Linked DNA regions of Daphnia pulex. The protein of the gene in region 1 interacts with the protein of each later gene in a biochemical or structural test. Links are inferred from orthologs where the notes say so. Each region holds a gene or a part of one and is shown in the gene's direction. Other genes may lie near its edges.

Region 1 (9,930 bases):
GGGGGCTGCATAAGAGCCCGAGACCGGCAAGTTTCAAGTTTCAACCAGTTTCAACATTTTTGACGCAATAAATAACCTTGTGTTAATTCACGATGTAGAATTGTATTTCTCCAACAAAGACCATTAAACTTTCAAATTCAAATAGGAATCTTAGCACACTTGCGTTATTTGCCAAAAGTCGCATTTCCCCCGATGGTGTGTTAAAACCGGTTTAACAATGTAACAAAGTTACATTTGCTGAGTAAAATAGTTAAATCCAAAAATATGGTCATCTAGACTTTGCGACTGACAAACTCTGGTTGCTCTTCGAAGTTCCTAGATTGATGAAACTAAAATTTAAAAATTGTGTTAGAAGACGCCTAGTCTGATAGGAATTTTACCTATAGTATTTTTTATTTCATTATGTTGTAGGAAAATAAGATAATAAGAAAACGAATCAGTAAAACGAAAGCAAGAAAAAAAAACGCATAGATATAAACAGCTGAGATCAGCAAGTTCGCACGTTGCTAAAGAAGTTCACACGAATGCGCACGAATGCTAAAGAAAATAAATGGACCTATTATTTGAAACTGTAGATTCACTGCTGAATTTGTTGGATCGAGTTTGGCTACCTAAACCCTTAACATAAAGCATATTAGAGAAGCACATCGCTATTGGTTTTCTACGCAACATGTCAATAATTAAAATCATATTACACAATGTCATGAGTTCCATGAAGTATTCAGTTGAGCTTTCGACGAACTCATCAATCACATCTCGAATATAAATGAGGATTGTGAAAGATTTTTCAGGAATCGAATTCGTCTGGCTATAGTCATTTGTAAATCTCAACCCTCATTAGGCTACATCCTATATGTCGTATCATATTCCTAAGAAGATCTTCCTTGTTTAAGCCGGTCTCAAAGTAATACATTCTAGTGTAGAATTACTTTCTGCAACAGAAATTGCATTTTCAATGGACGAGACGTTTGATTCGATTAAATTCAAATTCGAAATAATCTAATGCTTTAAATGCCCTTGCTTCTTCTCCTTGTTTAGTTCTGAAAAACAGAGTTATGACCAAGTTATGACTTATTTATTTGTGATCTAATATAATATCTATTCTATGCAGGTTCTTAAAAAATATTGGATAAGCTAATATGTGGTTTCGACAAATCAACATTGAAATGTCTTATTAGCAGTTTGGTGAATTTTGAGCACAACCAGACAACTATACAAATCTATACTATAGAACTCTACTGCCTCCAGCTCTTTTTCTTTGTCTGGTGGTAGTAGGAAGGGGGGACACCGGGACATTGATATTTTAGAAAAGATTTGACGACGATTTTTCGATCCATTTTGACAAGGAAAAACAGACCACGCACTTGAACACCATCGGCCTCTGCCAAGATCAGTGCGGCTGCAACACCAACAAAGATGATGCGGGTTTTAAGGCAAACAACCTTCGAGGCTTTTCTTCTCTTATCTTTCGTGTTGTGTCCGTCCAACAACATCTCCCCTACGAAAAAACAACCAAGCCTCTGGCTATGGCATTCCTCCCCATGGGCTGACCTCGACGTTGACCTCTTCTCCGCCACACCAACTCTGGCGCCACTGGATGGAAACATCTGTACTCGTTTCTTTCTCCCCTCTCTCTTCTGAAGCAATAAACAAAAGGGAAGAAGAAGAAGAAGAAGAAAAAAAGCAGTAAAAAAATTCATATTCGAAACCACCTGCCCCTGGGGCTTTGGCGCCATCTTTGTTCACCACCACTTTGGGATTCATCAAGTTCATAATAATTAAAAAAGACGAAAAAAGAGTGTGTTTCAAGGTTGATATCTGTGGTACTACCGAGGGCGGGATACCTCCGTGTTGGGTCGGGTTGCGTTTTTTTGACCGCAAAATAAGATTTTTTTTTTTTTTTCATTTTTTAACTCAAAAACTAACGGCCGGAACATTCCCACGCTTGCCATTGTCGTGGTATTATCTGGAAAGCCAGGTGCACTTGCCAATGACCACTGATAATCACCGTGATTTAGAAAAAAAGAAAAAAAAAAAATTAATATCTAAAACTTGTTGATAACAAGTTTTCAAAACCTATACGACGACGACGTCGACGCATTGGCTCTGTCCGGTGTTTGCATCTACTCACGAACGACAAATGATTTCATTGTCCCGATTATCATTTTTGACAGATCTAGACACGGGGTCAACGGTTGCGCTCCACACGACTGGAGAAATAGGTTGGATCGATTTATCACGAAGCGAATTTTCCTTTTCTTTTTTAGAGGCCTAGAAACGAGTTTTTTTTTTTTATTCCGTTCCCACGGATAACCATTTCACCCCTCTCCATTTGATCGTTTGATTCAATTCCCCCCTACTTTTTGTGATCCGTTTGAGTGGTTTACATGTGCAACAGTTGCTGCCAATCTGTCGCAACTACCCCACCACCACTTGTGGTGAAGGGGGTTTGGTCACGTGACCATCGATAGAGCATTGAGTTGATTGTTTGGGTTTTACGCTCGAGGAATACGAACAAGTCAATGCAGGAACAAGTTGGTTTAGTTCTAAGTTTGGGTATCTCGTTAACCCTTTTATCCCAACGGGAAAGACCTGATGATTTTCGTGTCTAACTGCACGGTAGATGATGAGAACCAATCAGCGCGGATCGAATGTAAAATGGGGAAAAAAAAAGGAAATTTCGGTTCGAGGCGTATATGACACAAATAAAAATATGAATGATGCAGAGCCATAGGCAGAAGAAGAAATGAATATAAATATGATGAAAGGCGCATCACGCAATGGGTAGAACGCAGAAGATGATTCCGGCGGCGCCAGTTGAATGATCAATCACGGTCTACATGATGCGGCCTTCGGATTCCTGGAGCTTGATGATGATTGCCGGTCATCTAGTTTCTACCTTCTTTTTCCGTTTTTCGTATGGTGCATCAGACTGTTTCTTTCTCAATTGCATTATTTTTTTGTGGGCTCGACAACGAGCTGCTTTCGTGATGTAGCCCACTTTTACGGCTGATTATACCATGCGCGGAATGGCAGAAAAACAATGGACGGACATGTCAACTGGATGAGGAGCTTAAAGGCGTCACGATCCCAGTCAAAAACAAATCGACAGGTCCTTTTTCCAATCGGCTTCACTAAAAGGGAAAGTTGCTGGAAAGATTTGGACGATGTCACTTTTTCCCCTGTATGATGGATGGGGGGATATTTCATCCCTACGGAAATCAGACAATATAAAAATATATTTCTAGGCCTAGTATTCCTCTTGGGTCTTTTATGATCGGCCCCAAAATTCTTTGAGAAGCTCCCTTCTTTCGGCTTTAATTACTTTCTTCGGGGAATTCTATTCTACATGTTTGTGAAATAGAAGAAACCAAGTCATGAACTTGTTAGACTCGCAATCAAAGTTTCATCTAGAATATACCACAAATACAAATAACTCTGTGGTTGAGAAAAATCGTTATTATAGGCGACACGTTTGGCCGAGTGACAGAATACTGGAAGAAGAATAGGCGCAATTTCAATTTTGTTCTTGTGTATTATAATTTTTCTTCTCTGTGTGCAGCAAGAAAACCCGCGGAGATTGCAAGGAGAAAGGAAGAGAACAAGTCGGACTCTGATTGGTTGTCGGTGGTTTTGCCTCGAGGCCAGTTATTCTGATAGAGCGACTCCCTCCGGCCAGTCGAGAAGCGTCCGTTGAACGGGAAGGATGTACTGTGTCGCTGCTGCTTGAATTTCTTCCATTTTTCTCTGTGTGCATCTGAGTTTAACAAAAAATCTCTTTACTGGAAAAGTGTGTAAAAACAAGAGAAAAAGTGCATCACCATGACCCAGTGGCTGAAAGTGTTGGTGTTTTGAGTGATTTAATTTTTCATCTATTCAACACAAAGAGGGAGAGAAGAAAGAAAGAAACGTTAAGTGTGTGTGAGTCCCTGTTTTTGTTGCTGCCATTAAAAATGGGGACCGACCGCAGTGGATTACTGATGCTGTTGCTGGGCATTCTCGTCTTCTTCTCAGCTTCAGTTCAAGGTAACCTTGACGTTTTTGTCTCGAATATTCGTGTGGCTTAAAATTACCTCATGACGATTGTTTCATTAAAGGTAGGGGGGAGTCTGAAAAAAGTAGTTGGGATGACGGTTAGAGTTTTGTTGCATCTGCTCTTCTTTTCAAAAAAAGACGCCGGGCCCCGTAGGGCTTTACATTTCCCACGCATTTAAATCCCCCCTCCAACCGACGCTCTCATTGTCCTTCTCTCTCCCCCCCCCCCCCCCCCTCTCCGACCTGTTGATCGACGTTGCCGAGATCTCAGCAAATCATTTTATTTATTTTTTAAAATTAAAAAAAGAATATGGTGATGACCAACATATCCGGCGAATAAAGACATCGTGAGATGATTAAGTTTCAAGACATTTTCATCAGCCAAGACATTTTGGTGGTGTCACATAGCGTTAGGCCACATGTTATTTGATAGTCATGAGTTAATGATGTTAGACAATAGCGTCGTATGTCCATTGAATCGTATCCTCTATCAGGGCGGAAGTGCATGATAGTGGACCCGTTTCCGTTGCTCTTTTTGTGTGTGTGTATTATCATTCACTCAAATCAATAATAATAATTAACTGTAATTTTTTTTCTTTTTTTTTTATTTATTCCAGGATTCGTTTCGTGTTCGCCCAATCCCTGCAAGAATGGAGCGTCGTGCGTCTCCAACCCGCGCGGCGAGTCTTACTGCAGGTAACGTCCATTGTTGAAAGTCTACAGGGGAGATCTATCCCCCCCCCCCTCTCTCTCTCTCTCCAATGGTAGAGTCTCTCTCGCTCAGAAGCGTGGGAAACAAGCTGGTCTGCATAGTTTGGGCTATTGAAACCACCTACCGTCAGCCACCCTACCACCACCACCTTGTCCACTTTTTTTTTTTGTTCCATCCGGTTTGGGCCCGAGCTGCTCACGTACTGCCTCCAGCTCTTTTTCTTTGTCTGGTAGTGGAGGTGGTAGTAGAAGGGGGGGAACGTTGATTTTTTATTTTTGGGGATTATGCTTTGATACACATGGTCCAGTTGCTCCAATCACTTGTGAAACAAATGATTAACTCTTTTTATTTTTATTTTTTACAGCTGTCCGCCGCAATACGTGGGCGAGTACTGCCAATTTGCCAACCCCTGCCATACGGGACCCGGACCTCGGTGCCAAAATGGCGGCACTTGCGCCGTCAAAATGTCGACTAATGCCGTGCCCAGCTTCTCCTGTTCGTGTCCGCTGGGTTACTCGGCCTCGCTGTGCGAGATTCCCGTGCCCAACGCCTGCGACACTGGGCCGTGCCAACACGGCGGAACGTGTCTACTCCGCACGCTGGATAACTACACCTGCGCCTGCTCGTCGGGATTCCGCGGCGCCAAATGCGAAGCTGTCGACCACTGCGCCCTGCATCCGTGCAAAAACGGTGCCCAGTGCACGTCTTTGTCGGACTCTCACCGCTGCACTTGCGCTCCTGGATTCGCTGGCCCGACGTGCGCTGTGGACATTGACGAGTGTAAACGCAACCCGTGCATCCACGGTCGCTGTGTCAACACCCACGGATCATACAAGTGAGTCCAGTCGTATTGACTCTTGTCGTCAACCATCTGTTGATCTTTCTTGGCATCCTTATCTCGACGTCATGATTGTCAAATGATTACCAAGCTGACTCAACAAAGTTGTTGACGCCGACCAAAGAAAGTCCGAGGGGAAATTTTTTCGTCACATCTTTATTATTATCTTCTATTCAACATTTTTTTAAAAATGTAGTTTCCTTCCAAAAATATTAAAAGAGGACAAAAAAGAAATTAAATTTTTCAAGGCTTTCATTGTCGAGTTAGCGTGGGAACGGCCGAGGCGAAAACAAGTCCATTAAATCGCCGTGGTCAGTAGACACCAGATTGAATTTATTTGTACTTTCTCGTCACGTGTCTGTGTGTGTCTCGTCTCATGTTTGTATCATGCCGGGCGCTAATCATCCGTTTGTATCCGTTTACTTTTTTTATTTTCCAGATGTAACTGCCACACGGGTTATACTGGCCAGAATTGCGAAAATCAGTATGTGCCATGCAGTCCGTCTCCATGCCAGAATGGTGGTGCGTGCAAAGCCATCGATTCTCTCAACTACGAATGCCGTTGTCCGCCTGGTAAGTCTCATAAAATTTGATTGAACCTTTTATTCCTCTTCTTTCCGGTAAATTTATGACAACTGAAACGAATTGTTGGTCCCAACAACCAAAAAGAAACAACAACAACATTGAATCTGGTTAGAGTAGCCATAAAGTCATTGTCGGCTGTTAAAATGAAGTTTAAATCTAAAGTCATCAGATTTCGGATGTGCTTGGTTTCCATCGGTGGGAACATTCCCACACACACAAGAAAGCCAAAACTTGTTATACCCTCGGGGCAAACCTCGTCCATCCAGAGAGACTTGAATATAAATATCCGAGCCCCTCTCTCTCTCTCTCTCAAATCTCTCCAGGCTCTTTTATGTTCCGACCCCTCCACCTTTCTCTAAAAAAAAGAACACCTGGGCGATGACCAACAAAGAATTCTTTCCTGTCTACTTACAGCGTTGCCATTTTCCCTTTAACACGAATCTAATATTTCCCCCCTTTCTTCTGATTATCAAAATTCTAGGCTTTGCTGGTACCAATTGCCAAGAAAATGTCAACGACTGCCCCGGTCATTTATGCCAGAATGGAGCCACTTGCGTCGATGGCGTCAATTCCTACACATGCCAGTGTCCACCATCCTTTACGGGGCCTTATTGTAATCAAGACGTCGATGAATGTGCTTTGAGGCCTAGCGTCTGCAAGAACGGCGCTACTTGTACCAACACCCACGGTGGATTCTCCTGCATTTGCGTCAACGGCTGGACTGGATCCGACTGCTCGGAGAATATCGATGATTGCGCCGGTGCCGCTTGCTTCAATGGCGCCACTTGTCACGATCGAGTCGGCAGTTTCTTTTGCCAATGCGCTCCAGGTACTGCCGAGAGAGAATAACTTAAACTTAAAAACCGGTTCTTCTTTATTAATTCCATCAAAATGGTTTATTCAATTCAAGGCAAAACCGGATTGTTGTGCCATTTGGACGATGCCTGCGCTTCAAACCCTTGTCACGCCGGAGCCATTTGTGATACTAGTCCCATCGACGGCACCTACATGTGTTCCTGCCCCAACGGCTACAAAGGAGTCGACTGCACTGAAGATATCGACGAATGCGAAGCCGGATCGCCTTGCGAGCACGACGGACTCTGCGTCAACACGCCCGGCTCATTCCGCTGCAATTGCACGCGGGGTTTCACCGGCCCTCGCTGCGAGATCAACATCAATGAATGCGATTCCAACCCCTGCCAAAATGACGGCACTTGTCTGGATGAACGTGGAGCCTTCCGCTGTGTCTGCATGCCAGGTATGTGATTCTTGATCTCTTCCGGGTGTGGCAATAAGAGGTCAAAGTTCGTGAGACTTTTTCCCCCCTTCCGTTGGGAAAGTGAAGGTTAGCTTGGCGTGGGAAACCATATGAGCTTCTCAAAAACCATGTGTTTGTCTCAAATTCTCAAGTTGGGCCTTAAGTGGCAGTTGGTAATTTGAGATAAACCACCCCGCTCCGGTCCAGTTTCACTCGACGCAATCCATCACGAGTGCCGATGTCGATAGAGAGAGAGATCCAACAGCTGCCTGCAGGAGGAAAAGGCCCCGATGCATCATTGACACTTTTTTCTCATTTTCTGTAGGCTACACGGGTGTCCATTGCGAAGTTGACATCGACGAGTGCGCTTCCAGCCCTTGCATCAACGGTGGCATCTGTACCGACATGATTAATGGCTACAAATGTGTCTGTCCGCCCGGTTTCTCCGGCAAGAAATGCCACATCAACATCGACGATTGCGTCAGCTCGCCATGCCAAAACGGAGGCGTTTGCAGAGACTCGGTGGCCGGCTACACTTGCAACTGTCCTCAGGGATTCACCGGACTCAACTGCGAAGTCAACATCAACGATTGCCAGAGCTCACCCTGCCATCATGGAGATTGCGTCGACGGCGTCAATTCCTTCACCTGCCAATGTCATCCAGGCTACAACGGACTCTTGTGCCAGACGCAAATCAATGAATGCGAATCCAATCCTTGCCAATTCGGCGGCCATTGCGAAGACCTTATTGGTGGCTATCAATGCCGATGCCAGCCTGGAACATCGGGCCGTAATTGCGAGTACAACGTCAATGAATGTTTCAGTAATCCTTGTCGTAATGGAGCCACTTGTATCGACGGAATCAACCGATACACTTGCGACTGTGTGCCAGGATTCACCGGACAACATTGCGAGACTAACATTAACGAATGTGCCAGCAATCCCTGCTCAAATGGAGGTAACTGGTTATATTTATTCCTTTATTTATTTTTAAATCAAATTTGGTATTTAATGCTCGGTTTTTCTAGGTAAATGCACGGACTTGGTCAACGGCTTCAAATGTGACTGCCCTCGCGGTTATTTCGACGCCCGCTGTTTGAGTGACGTCAACGAATGCGAGTCGAATCCTTGCATGAATGGAGGAAGCTGTGAAGATGGCGTCAGCCAATTCATTTGCAATTGCCCTAAAGGATACGGCGGCAGAAGATGCGAACTCAACATTGACGAGTGCCAATCCAACCCGTGCCAACACGGAGGCACATGCCGTGACGCCCTCAATAACTACACATGCACGTGCACCAAAGGTTACAGCGGACGAAACTGCGAGGTAGGATTTTTCTCAAACTTAAAATGATTATAGAGTAGTTTTTTTAAAAATTATTTCATTTCTTTTTGTAGCTCAACGTTGACGATTGCGCCTCGACACCTTGTCGTCACGGAGGTTCGTGCATCGATTTGGTCCATGATTACCAATGCGTTTGCGACCTGCCTTACACTGGCCGCAATTGCGACGCGGAATTGGATCCGTGTGCGCCCAACAAGTGTCGCAATGGAGCCAAATGCACACCGTCCAGTAATTTCCTGGATTTCGCTTGCACTTGCGAGTTGGGCTACACTGGGCGTTTGTGCGATGAAGACATTGACGAGTGCGCCATTTCGTCACCTTGTCGTAACGGAGCCACATGTCAAAATACCAACGGATCTTACGTTTGTCTTTGCGCCAAAGGCTACGAAGGCCGCGATTGCTTGACCAACACGGACGATTGTGCTACATTTCCCTGCAAGAACGGCGGAACTTGCCTGGATGGCATCGGCGAGTACACGTGTCTCTGCGTCGATGGATTTGGTGGCAAACATTGCGAGGCCGACATGGACGAATGTGCTTCCAGTCCGTGCCGAAACGGAGCCACTTGTCGCGACTACGTCAACTCGTACACTTGCACTTGTCCCTTGGGTTTCTCCAGCACCAATTGCCAGACCAACGACGAGGATTGCACCACCAGCTCGTGCATGAATAACGGAACTTGCGTCGACGGCATCAATACCTACACTTGCCTCTGCCCACCCGGATACACTGGATCCAACTGTCAGTTCCGGATCAACGAATGCGACTCAAATCCTTGCCTCAATGGCGCCACTTGCAGCGATCGACTTGGATCTTACCTCTGTCATTGCCCGTATGGATTCACTGGAACGCGCTGTGAAAGCTTCGTCGACTGGTGCTCTATGGGTGGCATCTCGCACACGGGATCACAACTGCTGCCAGGTCAGCCTGGTCAAGGGCCTTGCTTTAATGGGGCCACTTGCAAACAGGTCAATCAAACTTACCAGTGTACCTGCGCACCTGGTTGGACGGGAATTCTATGCGACGTTGAAATGGTTTCCTGCAAGGACGCTGCTCTTCGCAAAGGATCCGCCGTTTCCGAACTCTGTCGTCACGGCGGCAAGTGTGAAGATATTGGCAACAGCCATCGTTGTGTCTGCTCTGAAGGTAAGATTCAT
Region 2 (9,831 bases), on another chromosome or scaffold:
CGGCCTTCGTTGCATCTCTGAAACGAACGCAAATGACCAGTCCACATGTCCTTGTCTATGTATAGACGTCGGCATGTACTATTTGTCCTCGAATTCACCGTGCATGTCCGTGCGAATCCTTTTTGCCTTTCTTTTTTATAGGCTACTTACATACATATACTAGTGTACACCTCTCTATGTGCAGTTTGGAAAAAGAGAGAGAACCCGTAAGAGCAATTGTTGTCACAGCAAAATGTTGGCGCTTCGTCTTATTTATTCAAATATGATCGTGTGTAAACATTTCCGCATTGACAATTTACTTTTTCGATCCTTTAATTCAATCGCAATTTGATTTGGCTAATAATTTTTGATTCAAACCAAAAGTCGAATGATTTTTTTCAAATAATTAAAAATAATTATATAAGTCCCGGAAGGTGTTGGGGCTGCAGGTCCGATGGACCTTGACGAATGTTCATACAAAGATGAGCGAGGGGGGCAGAGGCCTTGAGAGGAAGAGAGCTGGCCCGCTCAATAATTATTGCGACGTGATTTTCTTCGTTTGGGGCTTTCGGCTCGGCTGGGTGTAGGTCCAGTGGGAGGTGCTGGTTTCCCACCGACCGCTTAGTCCCGCAGGTAGAAGCTCAGGTATAGCGTGATTAGGCGCTCAGAGCCAATGGGAAACGTCCCGACGCCCATTGGCTGTTGTCAACCCAACCATCACGCCTCCCCCACCCCCCACTCTCGACTCCCGCCGACGCCACGGCGTCGCTCTCATCATCCACACGCTCACGAATTTTTTTGTTCACGAGTTCCCGCCTCTTCCCCCTTTGCATGCGCGCTCGATCGATTCCCCCCCCCTTCTCCCGCGAGTCTCTCTCTCTCCTATTATCCGGCGGAATGAATCGACTCGACAGACAATACAATCGGCCCATCCGCCATTGAAGGTTCTTCTTTTCCGTCGTTCCTCCGAAAAAATCGTTCGTTTGTTCATCTTCTTCCAACTCCCGGGGACTTTGCCATCCATCCGAGTGTTTTCGGTTTATTTTTGGTTTGACTTGCGCAATCGTTTTGTGTGATGTCTCCATATGCCACCGAGGCTAAGGCCAAGTGTTGACAACATCTTCATCCGCATTGCAACTTGAGAGAACTTTCCTGCGTCCACTTCCGACCGTCATCATCATCATCCAACACCCCGAGAAAACTCGCAAGCGAAATTTGAAACTTGACTTTTTTTCCAACTCGCAGGGAGAAATGAACGACGCCTATCTCGACACTCAGGTAAAATTCCAAACGGGATGAGGGTGTTATTCTCTTTTTTGGGGTTTCGTTTCTGTGAATGGACTGGCGGTTAGTCGCTTTCTTGTTCCTTTTGAATGAAATTTGAGACTTGAAAAGAAGAAGACGAACATCCTTTTAATAATTGGAGTCGAGAGTCGATTTGTGGTCGGTCGGTCGGCCGAGCGTAGGACACTCAAAAGTCACCGGACCGTGACCAGTGTGTGAACCATCCGAAGAGTTTTAGAAGAAAAAAAATCAAAGGAAAGAAGAAGAAGAAGTTATTTCTTCCCGATTTTTTTATTTTCCTTTCGTGAGTCGACCAACACAGCTCAGAATAAAAGAACTCGGCGTTATAGGTTAAGCGTCATAGATTGAAATAAAAAAGTGGATTGATTCTTTCTTTTTACGATCACGATCCTGTCGGAGTTTGTTGCCACTTTTGTTCCAAGCCTCACACATTCACGACGTTGACTCTTCTCACGCTGTTGTATCGCGATGGATACATTGACATTATCCTCCCTACCCATTCGGCGTAATGACAGATTTCAAAGCTGCTATTTCGAGAAAAATAGCTTATGTGTACGTGTTTGGTTTATTTTTTTTTTGAAAGTTTTTTGGAAATAGATACAAAAAGATCGGCCATTTTAGACCTTGGCTGCGCACGGGGTTGGCCAACCTGTTGATTGTAGGTTCGAGGGAAAGCCCAGTCACCACTTTTTCGCTTTTGTGTTGAGATTGGTAGTGCAGTATACACAGTGTGATATTAGCCACTTGTATTTTTCCCAAACTCTCTATCAATTATCTTAATTTTTTGGGGGCTTATTTGGAAATCCTGTGCGCGTAGAATAGAAATTTGCTTTTTTGTTTGGGACTTGCCCATTTTTGTTTTTCAAAGGGGGAAAAGGTACACCGACTACAATATAGGACGTTATTCGCGTGGGAATCCGACGCCGACGCCCTTTAATAATAATAAAAAAAAGTAAAAATAAAACTTATGGTTTTCTGGGGGGAATGGTGAATTTTCAACCCCCCCTAAAATTCCAGCAGCACGGTCTAATCGTGAACTATTGTATGTACATACGTAACCCCTCCTTTGGATCTATAGACTCTCCACCCCTTGTCTGTCTGCGAATAGCGTCGCTCTCTACCATCCGTCGATAAGAGAAAATCGTCCAACATGACGATAGAATTTTGGGTTGTTTTCCCAGTTTCCCACGATACCTACGTAGATGTGAACCAAAACCAATTTTGTGGAAAATGCCAGTGACTTTGCGAGGGAGTAGACAGCAGAGATAGAGAGAGAGATCTATATTTAAGTTTATTTGGGGGTTTCTGTTGGGATATCGAAAGAGAGAGTCTCACTTTTTTTTTTCTTATTTAAAAAAGAACAAACAAACAACAAATTTGGTTGGTTGTGTTGTGTTAGTTCCAATGATGAAATGTGTACCGAAAAAACGTTTTCTCTCTGCGCCTTCGCCTTCTTCCCACGCTTTCTACACGGGGCTGTTACACCCTTTTTTGTTGTTGTTCTCTATTCTTTATTTTTTCGGTGGGTCCAATCAATGAAAATGACATTGCAGAGAATAAAACAAAAAACATATTGCAGTTTTGATTTATAGGAGCTACTCAAACTAGAAATGAAAGTCAAGTGGCTGGGGGTCTTTAAAAAATCCACAAAATGACGTTCGTCCAAAATAGATCGTCGCGAGTTCCTTTGTCGGTGAACATCAAATCAAAGCGCCGTGTGTTTATCTTATCCAACTAGAAGCAACGGTGAAAAGTCAATTTGAAACTTTTTGAAACAAAAATAAAAGAAGAAGAAGAAGAAAAAGTCAAAAGAAACGACACAATAACGAGCGAATCAAAGTCTCCCGGGAGGAAACGTTTCGGCTCCCACGTTCACGGAAATTAGGAGCAAAAAGAAGAAGAAGAAGAAGAAGAGCTTCCCTTATCATTGGAGAAGAGAATGATGTTGTGAGTTACTACGCCGAGCAATACGTGTAGAAGAAGAAACAGGTGACACTGACCTCGTCGGCGACCCCAACAAGCCCCCACCTCTTATATACGTTAGGAGCATTAGGAGCAGCCACCTCTGTACACCGCCTCTGACCTCTTGACGAGGTGCTCTTGTGGAGCTGCTCACCGTTCCACTTGTTGCCATTTTTTTCTCACGGCCCCTTACGTACCTGCCGCCCGATTGCCAGCGCATCGTGACGTGATCGACGAGTCGCAATGGGAAATTTATTTTCCTTCATCATCGTCCAAAATTTGAATTTTTGTTTTGTCTACTTTTCTTGTCAAATTTTTTCGTTCAAAATTTTTTTTAAATTTCGAACTGGTCAAATGGCCCGAGAAATGTTAGAACGGTGGGAGGAGCTTAGTTTTTTGGTTAAAAATAAGGAAGGTGGAGGGGAGGAGGAGGAGGAAGCGGGTTTTCAACACCAACCCCACTTTGTGTGTGTGTGTGTCTCCTTTCCGTGGATGCTCGACTCCGACGTCGTTCTCACACATTTGCGTCGGCGGGAAAAACTTTTTCTTTTTCTTTTTTTATTATGTCTTTCTTTTTATTTGATATTTATTTCGACTCTCCTTGTTGTTGTGTTCCCATCAGTTGGTTTTTTTCTTTCTTCTATTTTTACCTTTTGCGGAAGGAGCTTCTTCTCCTTCAATCCATCGTCCCGCGTGTTACCGCACAAACACGTGTGTGACGTCATTTCAAATGGTATGGTGGGGGGATATCTTTGTTGTTTCTTCCTTTTTGGCTACGCCACTTGTTGCCGAACGAAGTAAGACTCGAAAAAGAACGTCGACTAAATTTTTGGTTTTTTCCCACGTTATGCTCGCGTTACAACTTCCCCTTTAGCTCCGGCATCTCCATGTCTGTCTTTTTTTTTAAAGGGAGTGAGGGGGTCATTATTCAGTTTTATGCGGATGAACCCCCCTGCTCTACACTACACCAAATGACACGCCCTTGATGTGTTTGAACCCGACGACAAATTAATGGGAATTTCAGCGCATCTCTTGAAATTTTTATTTTTCAATTGGGATGTAGGCCCAAATTCCTTCCCCCCCCGATAAAATAATTAGACGTTTGATTCATCGGATTCCCCCACAGATCCCCCATGGTGTGTGCATATTCATTTACCACCCGTATTTATTAATTTGAATAATTCAGTTCGATCAAATTGGAATTGAATTGAAATAGGAAAAAATCAGTTGGGGGACTTTTTGGATCAAAGGGATTATTACGTGGAGCAGATTGCTGTGTAAATCTATTGGAGTCTATTTAAAAAGTTGTACAACAAAAGACAGACCTCCCCCACCCGATGACGCTTTCAACTCCCCCCTCCTTCCTCTTGTGTGTCCGTTTTGCTGGGGGTAGTAGGAGGAGGAGGAGGTACAGCTGCACACATAGTGTGTCTGTGTGCTCGGGACCTACCCTCCTCCCCCTATACACTCCACCCTAGGTGAAAAGGGGGCAGCCGCCGCCGCCGTCGTCGTCGTTGGGTAGAAAATGTTCAGTTTAGTTGCACGACGGTTGGACTGGAATCAGCACGCGCCCAGTGGCCGTCCTTGTCTCGTAACATCCGTCGATCTCAACGGAATTTGGTTTATCTCGTCGCCTAGTGTTTTTCGGTTTATCCAGTGAATTTGGTTTTGGACACATGTGACGCTTTTTAGCCATTGACAATCGTCAACATTTTTCGCAGTGAAATATTGGAACGAAGTTTTAATAAAAGAAATTTGGACAAAATGCCCGACGTTGCGCCCAGCTCAATGGACCTCGACTCGGAGCCCTACACACCCAGCGCACGTAGTCCGCTCGCCGATACTTGGGTATTTAAAAAAATAATAATAAGGAAGAAAATTTGAAGTTTTCCAAGTTTTGTGTTTGCCGACTCGTGTTGATATTGGCGGCAATTTTCAAACGTTTGAAATTCTTTTGATTTTATTTTTACTGGGTCGATGATAAGAATCTTACGACGATGATGATTATGTCGGCGATAAGGAATGTGTCTCAGACTCAATGACACACACACACACACAGACATGCGTAACCGGTGATATCGTGTGAAAAAGAGAAGCCGACTTGTGTCAACATCACGATTTTCAGTTATAGGCAATTCCCGATTTTTACGACTTTGGCTGTCGTCCACGATTATTTCCTGTCCGGTAGCCCGTTTATTTTTTATTTATTTTTTTCCTTTTCTTCCCGGCATCTTTTTATTGGATCCGAATTCAATTCTCCTTGAATTTCGATCGGATAAAAAAAAATGATCAAATTTCGAACAATTTGAAAATTTTGAATTTGGCGCGCTCCGCTCGAATTTTGTTTACACACGTGAGTGTGTGGGAAAAAAAAAAACTTTTCTTCTGTTGTTGTTGATTATGTATTTGCTCCCCCCCCCCTTCCTCTGATATTAAAAGCCAGTATAGAGAGGTAACAGTTAGTACATGAGCTTTAGTGTGTGGGTTTTGAAAGAGAAAAAAATAAGCAGGGCGGAAGGATGTGCCCGCCGGGGTTTGCGGAGGAGGTCATTTATACATACAAAAGGTTAGTCTCTGTGTGTGTAGTGACTACCGTACTACTACTACACTACTACTATGTCTATATAGTAGCCACCACCACCACCAGCGGGACTGTGTTTTTCATTTTCCCAGACGGCCAAATTCTTTCCCACGAACCGGGGCGGGTTTGGTGGGTGCATGGGTACATGGGTCGAGGTTTTGATCACAACTCTCCTATACATTCTCCCCCCCCCCCTTTCCCCCCACTCATTTTTGTGGGGGTTCACACACAAGAAACTTTTTCAATTGACATTCCATCGGGCCTCGCCCAGCAACTGCACAGCCCAGCACTGAACAACTTGGTAGTTTCTCCTCTCTTAGAAAAGTGATGGCGATTCGTATTACCGATTCCCAGATCGGTTTACTTTTGGCTGCTCAACATCTAAATTACAAAAGATCTCTCATTTTTCAAATGCTTCGCCAAATCAATTTTCATTTGGGTGACTACAAGTGTCTGTCCGTCTGTCTGTCTGGACGGACTTAACATTTAAAAAGTTGAGTTGCTTTTGTTTAACTTTTTGATTTCGGGTTGATTTCTTGACAAGAATCTAACAAATTGGAGATAACACACACACACACAGAGACGGAAAGAGTTAACGAGAGCCTTCTAAAGTGTCTAGTGTGTTTGTGTGGGAACCGCCGGCGGCCATCTCTTTCAAAAAACTTTTTTTTTCTTTTTTACTTCTTGTTCAACACAAGAGGGGAAAAACAACAAAAAATGTGTGTGTATTTCGTACTATATACCCTTGTGTGTGTGCACTGGTTCAAACAATTTGTTCTTTTAAAAAATAGAAAGAAGAGGGGAGAGCCCCTTATTTTAAAAGAAAAAGGTCATCCGATCCCTTCTCTCTTATTCAAAAAAAGATGCCTCGAGAGAAACCGTATAGAGAGTAGAGAGGAGCTAGGATACATAGAGAAGAACAACCCACCAACTTCATTTGCCTGCCGGAGACTGTGGGAAACGGTCACTTTTTCAAACGCACTCTGCACTCGACCAACTTTTGAGTTGGAAAATATTTTTTTTCAAGTTTGAATTTCCCTCCCTGCACAATGTTGTCCAGTGAATTTGTTTCTATACGCCAAGGATTATTCATCATCGATCGGTAACAAAAACTTACGTCATCTGATTTTTGAAAAAAATGTTTCTTTAAAATCTAGTGCACGTGGAGATTTATGGATATTATTCTCTCCCAGAGTCTATTTCTTTTTCGGTCGGCTCTGTTATCCTCGACGTCATTCAATGTGTATACATAGCGAAGTGGGTGACGGGGTGGGGGGTGGAGAGAGAGAGAGTGAAAAGCGTGTGGGAATCGGCGCACCTGTCGACGACGTCGTCGTCGCTTTAGCCACCGAGTGGCTCTCAACGCGCACGTCCAAAATGCCGTGCCAGGCCAAAACGTCTCTCGGGGAGGGGATGAAATTATTTTTTTCTTTTTTCTCTTCACGTCGTCGTCGTATTCGTCGTCGTCGGGTCAAGTGTGAAATAACAACCGACACTGTAACGCAGCCCAGCGGGACAGTAGGACTCGGGCCGAGCATCAAGCCGGTCTCCCTTTCAACTCTGGAAAAAAACAATTTCATTTTTGTTTCGAATTCAATCGGCCGTTTCGTTATTTTCATTGGGACAATGTGTCGCCATTTTCTCGATTGATTGATTGTTTTTGGATCAGATAAGATTTTTTGGATAGTTTCTTATTGATTAGATTTGAATTATGCCTCTAGCTAAGCCGTTGGTGAGTCGAGTCGAGCGTTTTTGGTTTATTTGGTTATTGGCGTGGAAATTTAAAAACGAAACTTTGTTTTAATATTTTGATTGAATTTTTCCGACAGGCCCATTACGGGTTCAGTTTAAGTGGCGGTTACGAGGCCCAGCACAGCCGCGAGTCTGTGGATTTGATCGGCGGAGTCAACAACAGTGTGGCCGTGACATCGGTGGCCGGAACGGTCGGCTCATCCGGTTCGACAGTCGTCGGCGTGGGACACGGAAGCGGCGGCGAGGTGGACGTTTGGTCCAATTCGCACGATCCTTATTCGCCCCACAATCACCACCACCATCAGCAGCAGCAGCAGCAACAACAACATCACCACCAGCATCATCACCAGCAACAACAACATGCCGCTTATTACGGACAGGTAACATCCAATCAACTTTAAACTTTTCAAATTCCATTCCGTTTGCAACTTTTCATTTTATTTTCCTTCAAACAGTCTGTGGGTGGAGGGCAGGTGATGACGGAATTGCTGACAGCTACTCATCCGCCGTCTTCTTACAACCTCAACCAGCCTCAACAACAACAACAGCAGCAACAACAACAACAACAACCGTTCACGCCTACCGAGCAGCACCCGGTCGATTTGTCGAATTCTCAGCAACGACCTCCCAATCCGGCCGTTTCAGCCGCCACTTCGGCCGCCTTCTACGGTCTCTCGGCCGCCGACTACAACAGCCCCGCAACCTCGTCCAGTCAACGTCAGCGCGGAGGCAACGACACCTACAAACCCAACGGGCTCAGCCTCTCGCTGGGCATCCCCGATTCCGGTAAATATTAAAAGTCAAAACGAATAAATAATTTCAAAGCATATTGTCGTCATCATAATGCGGAGTGGTGGATGAGGGGGAGAGTCTATCGGTCACGGACCCTCCCTTCTCTTTCTTTCTCCCCCCGGAATAAAAAGATGGTCACCATGTGTTGGATATCGATTTGCGGAACTCGAGTGTTTTCAACGGTGGATTCAGGGAGTGGGGGAGTGAGAGTAGGTGAAGGAGTAGTAGTACTAGTTCCATCAGCGTTGCACACTCGATCGATTTATCGGCCAGAGAGAAGCAAATGCATTTTGCATTAAAGCGTTGAATCGTCTCCATACATATAACTTTGTATATGTATACCCTACACACACACACTCATAAGCCCACCCTTTTCGGTTTGGAACCCCCCAGACACCCCTCCTTCCTCCTCCCTCTTATTCCATCCGCAACATCAAATATAGCCAAGCGTGGGAACTCAACCGGGCGCTTGCAGGTGTCGTTGATCCTCTCTCCTCCCTTCCTCTGTATGAATGTGTCTGGGGCGCACTGGTACACACACGCGGAGGAGCGCTTGTCAAATTTGTTATTTGGACCGGGACTAGTAGGAAGCGATAAAAGAAAATTGTCATCATTTTTAAATGGGGAAGAATTTCAGATGACATTTGATTTGAAAAAAGGGTAGACGAACGAGATGTTGTTGGGAAAAATATGGAAGGCCCCATGTAATATTCATCTAAAAAATAGAGAAGCCCATCCGTCCATCCGCCGACTAGTTTTTCATCTTTTTTCGGATGTTTGTCTATGTATGTGCGAATTGTTGCAGCCGGGGAGGGTGAAAATCTTTTGTTTTCCTTCTTTTTTCTTCTAAAAATGGGAGGGTTTGTGTGTGCAGAGAGAGAGAGAAGGACATGGCAATGTGCCGACTTGTGTGTCTAATCTTGTGCAGCTCGCACCCACTGCTCCGTTTCCCACGGCTTTTCTTTTACTTTTCCCAGTTGCAGAGTCGATCGCCCTAGAACGCTAAAAGTTTGTTTTGTCTTTTCTCTTTTTCTTTTATTTAAAAAAAAAAAGACACACGAGGAAATCTTTTGTTTTTTGACTGATGTGAGCGGCACAGATTCGACAAAATCTTCCAAACAGATATTGTTTGTCTATTTGATTCATTTGGAGGACATTTTGATCTCGATCGGAAATTTTAATTTTGAATTGTTTGTTTTTTGACAGTTGTCGGAGCGGGCGGATTGATTCCGGGCTCTTTGACTCCACCGGACAAGGTGGTGGGAGCATCCGGCGATTTGAGCGGCGGTCATTTGCTCAATCAGCAACAACAACAACACCATCATCACCAGCAGCAGCAGCAGCAGGGGGCTCAGCAACAACAACAGCAACAACAACAACATCATAACCCTTACGCCCTGGCGCATCCCAGTTCGGCCATGGCTCCGACTCTGCAGACTCCGCCGTCGCCTCTTTCGACT

What was found. The genes of interacting proteins can lie anywhere in the genome.
Region 2: the proteins of neurogenic locus Notch protein-like (region 1) and recombining binding protein suppressor of hairless-like form a complex in vitro, tested with the Drosophila melanogaster proteins (4 studies listed by BioGRID). The link is inferred for Daphnia pulex from reciprocal best matches to the Drosophila melanogaster genes N and Su(H).

Annotation. Positions count from the first base shown.
Region 1 is NC_060028.1:5,078,864-5,088,793, reverse strand, and holds the start of neurogenic locus Notch protein-like, read left to right. Parts: upstream 1-3,677; 5' UTR 3,678-3,953; coding exon 3,954-4,026; intron 4,027-4,652; coding exon 4,653-4,731; intron 4,732-5,111; coding exon 5,112-5,582; intron 5,583-6,024; coding exon 6,025-6,158; intron 6,159-6,651; coding exon 6,652-6,999; intron 7,000-7,080; coding exon 7,081-7,428; intron 7,429-7,753; coding exon 7,754-8,386; intron 8,387-8,456; coding exon 8,457-8,755; intron 8,756-8,826; coding exon 8,827-9,919; intron 9,920-9,930. UniProt on the Drosophila melanogaster protein: Essential signaling protein which has a major role in many developmental processes. Functions as a receptor for membrane-bound ligands Delta and Serrate to regulate cell-fate determination.
Region 2 is NC_060025.1:8,031,345-8,041,175, reverse strand, and holds the start of recombining binding protein suppressor of hairless-like, read left to right. Parts: upstream 1-3,570; 5' UTR 3,571-5,010; coding exon 5,011-5,094; intron 5,095-6,679; exon of another isoform or gene 6,680-6,929; intron 6,930-7,334; exon of another isoform or gene 7,335-7,538; coding exon of another isoform or gene 7,539-7,559; intron 7,560-7,656; coding exon 7,657-7,959; intron 7,960-8,034; coding exon 8,035-8,365; intron 8,366-9,577; coding exon 9,578-9,831. UniProt on the Drosophila melanogaster protein: Transcriptional regulator that plays a central role in Notch signaling, a signaling pathway involved in cell-cell communication that regulates a broad spectrum of cell-fate determinations.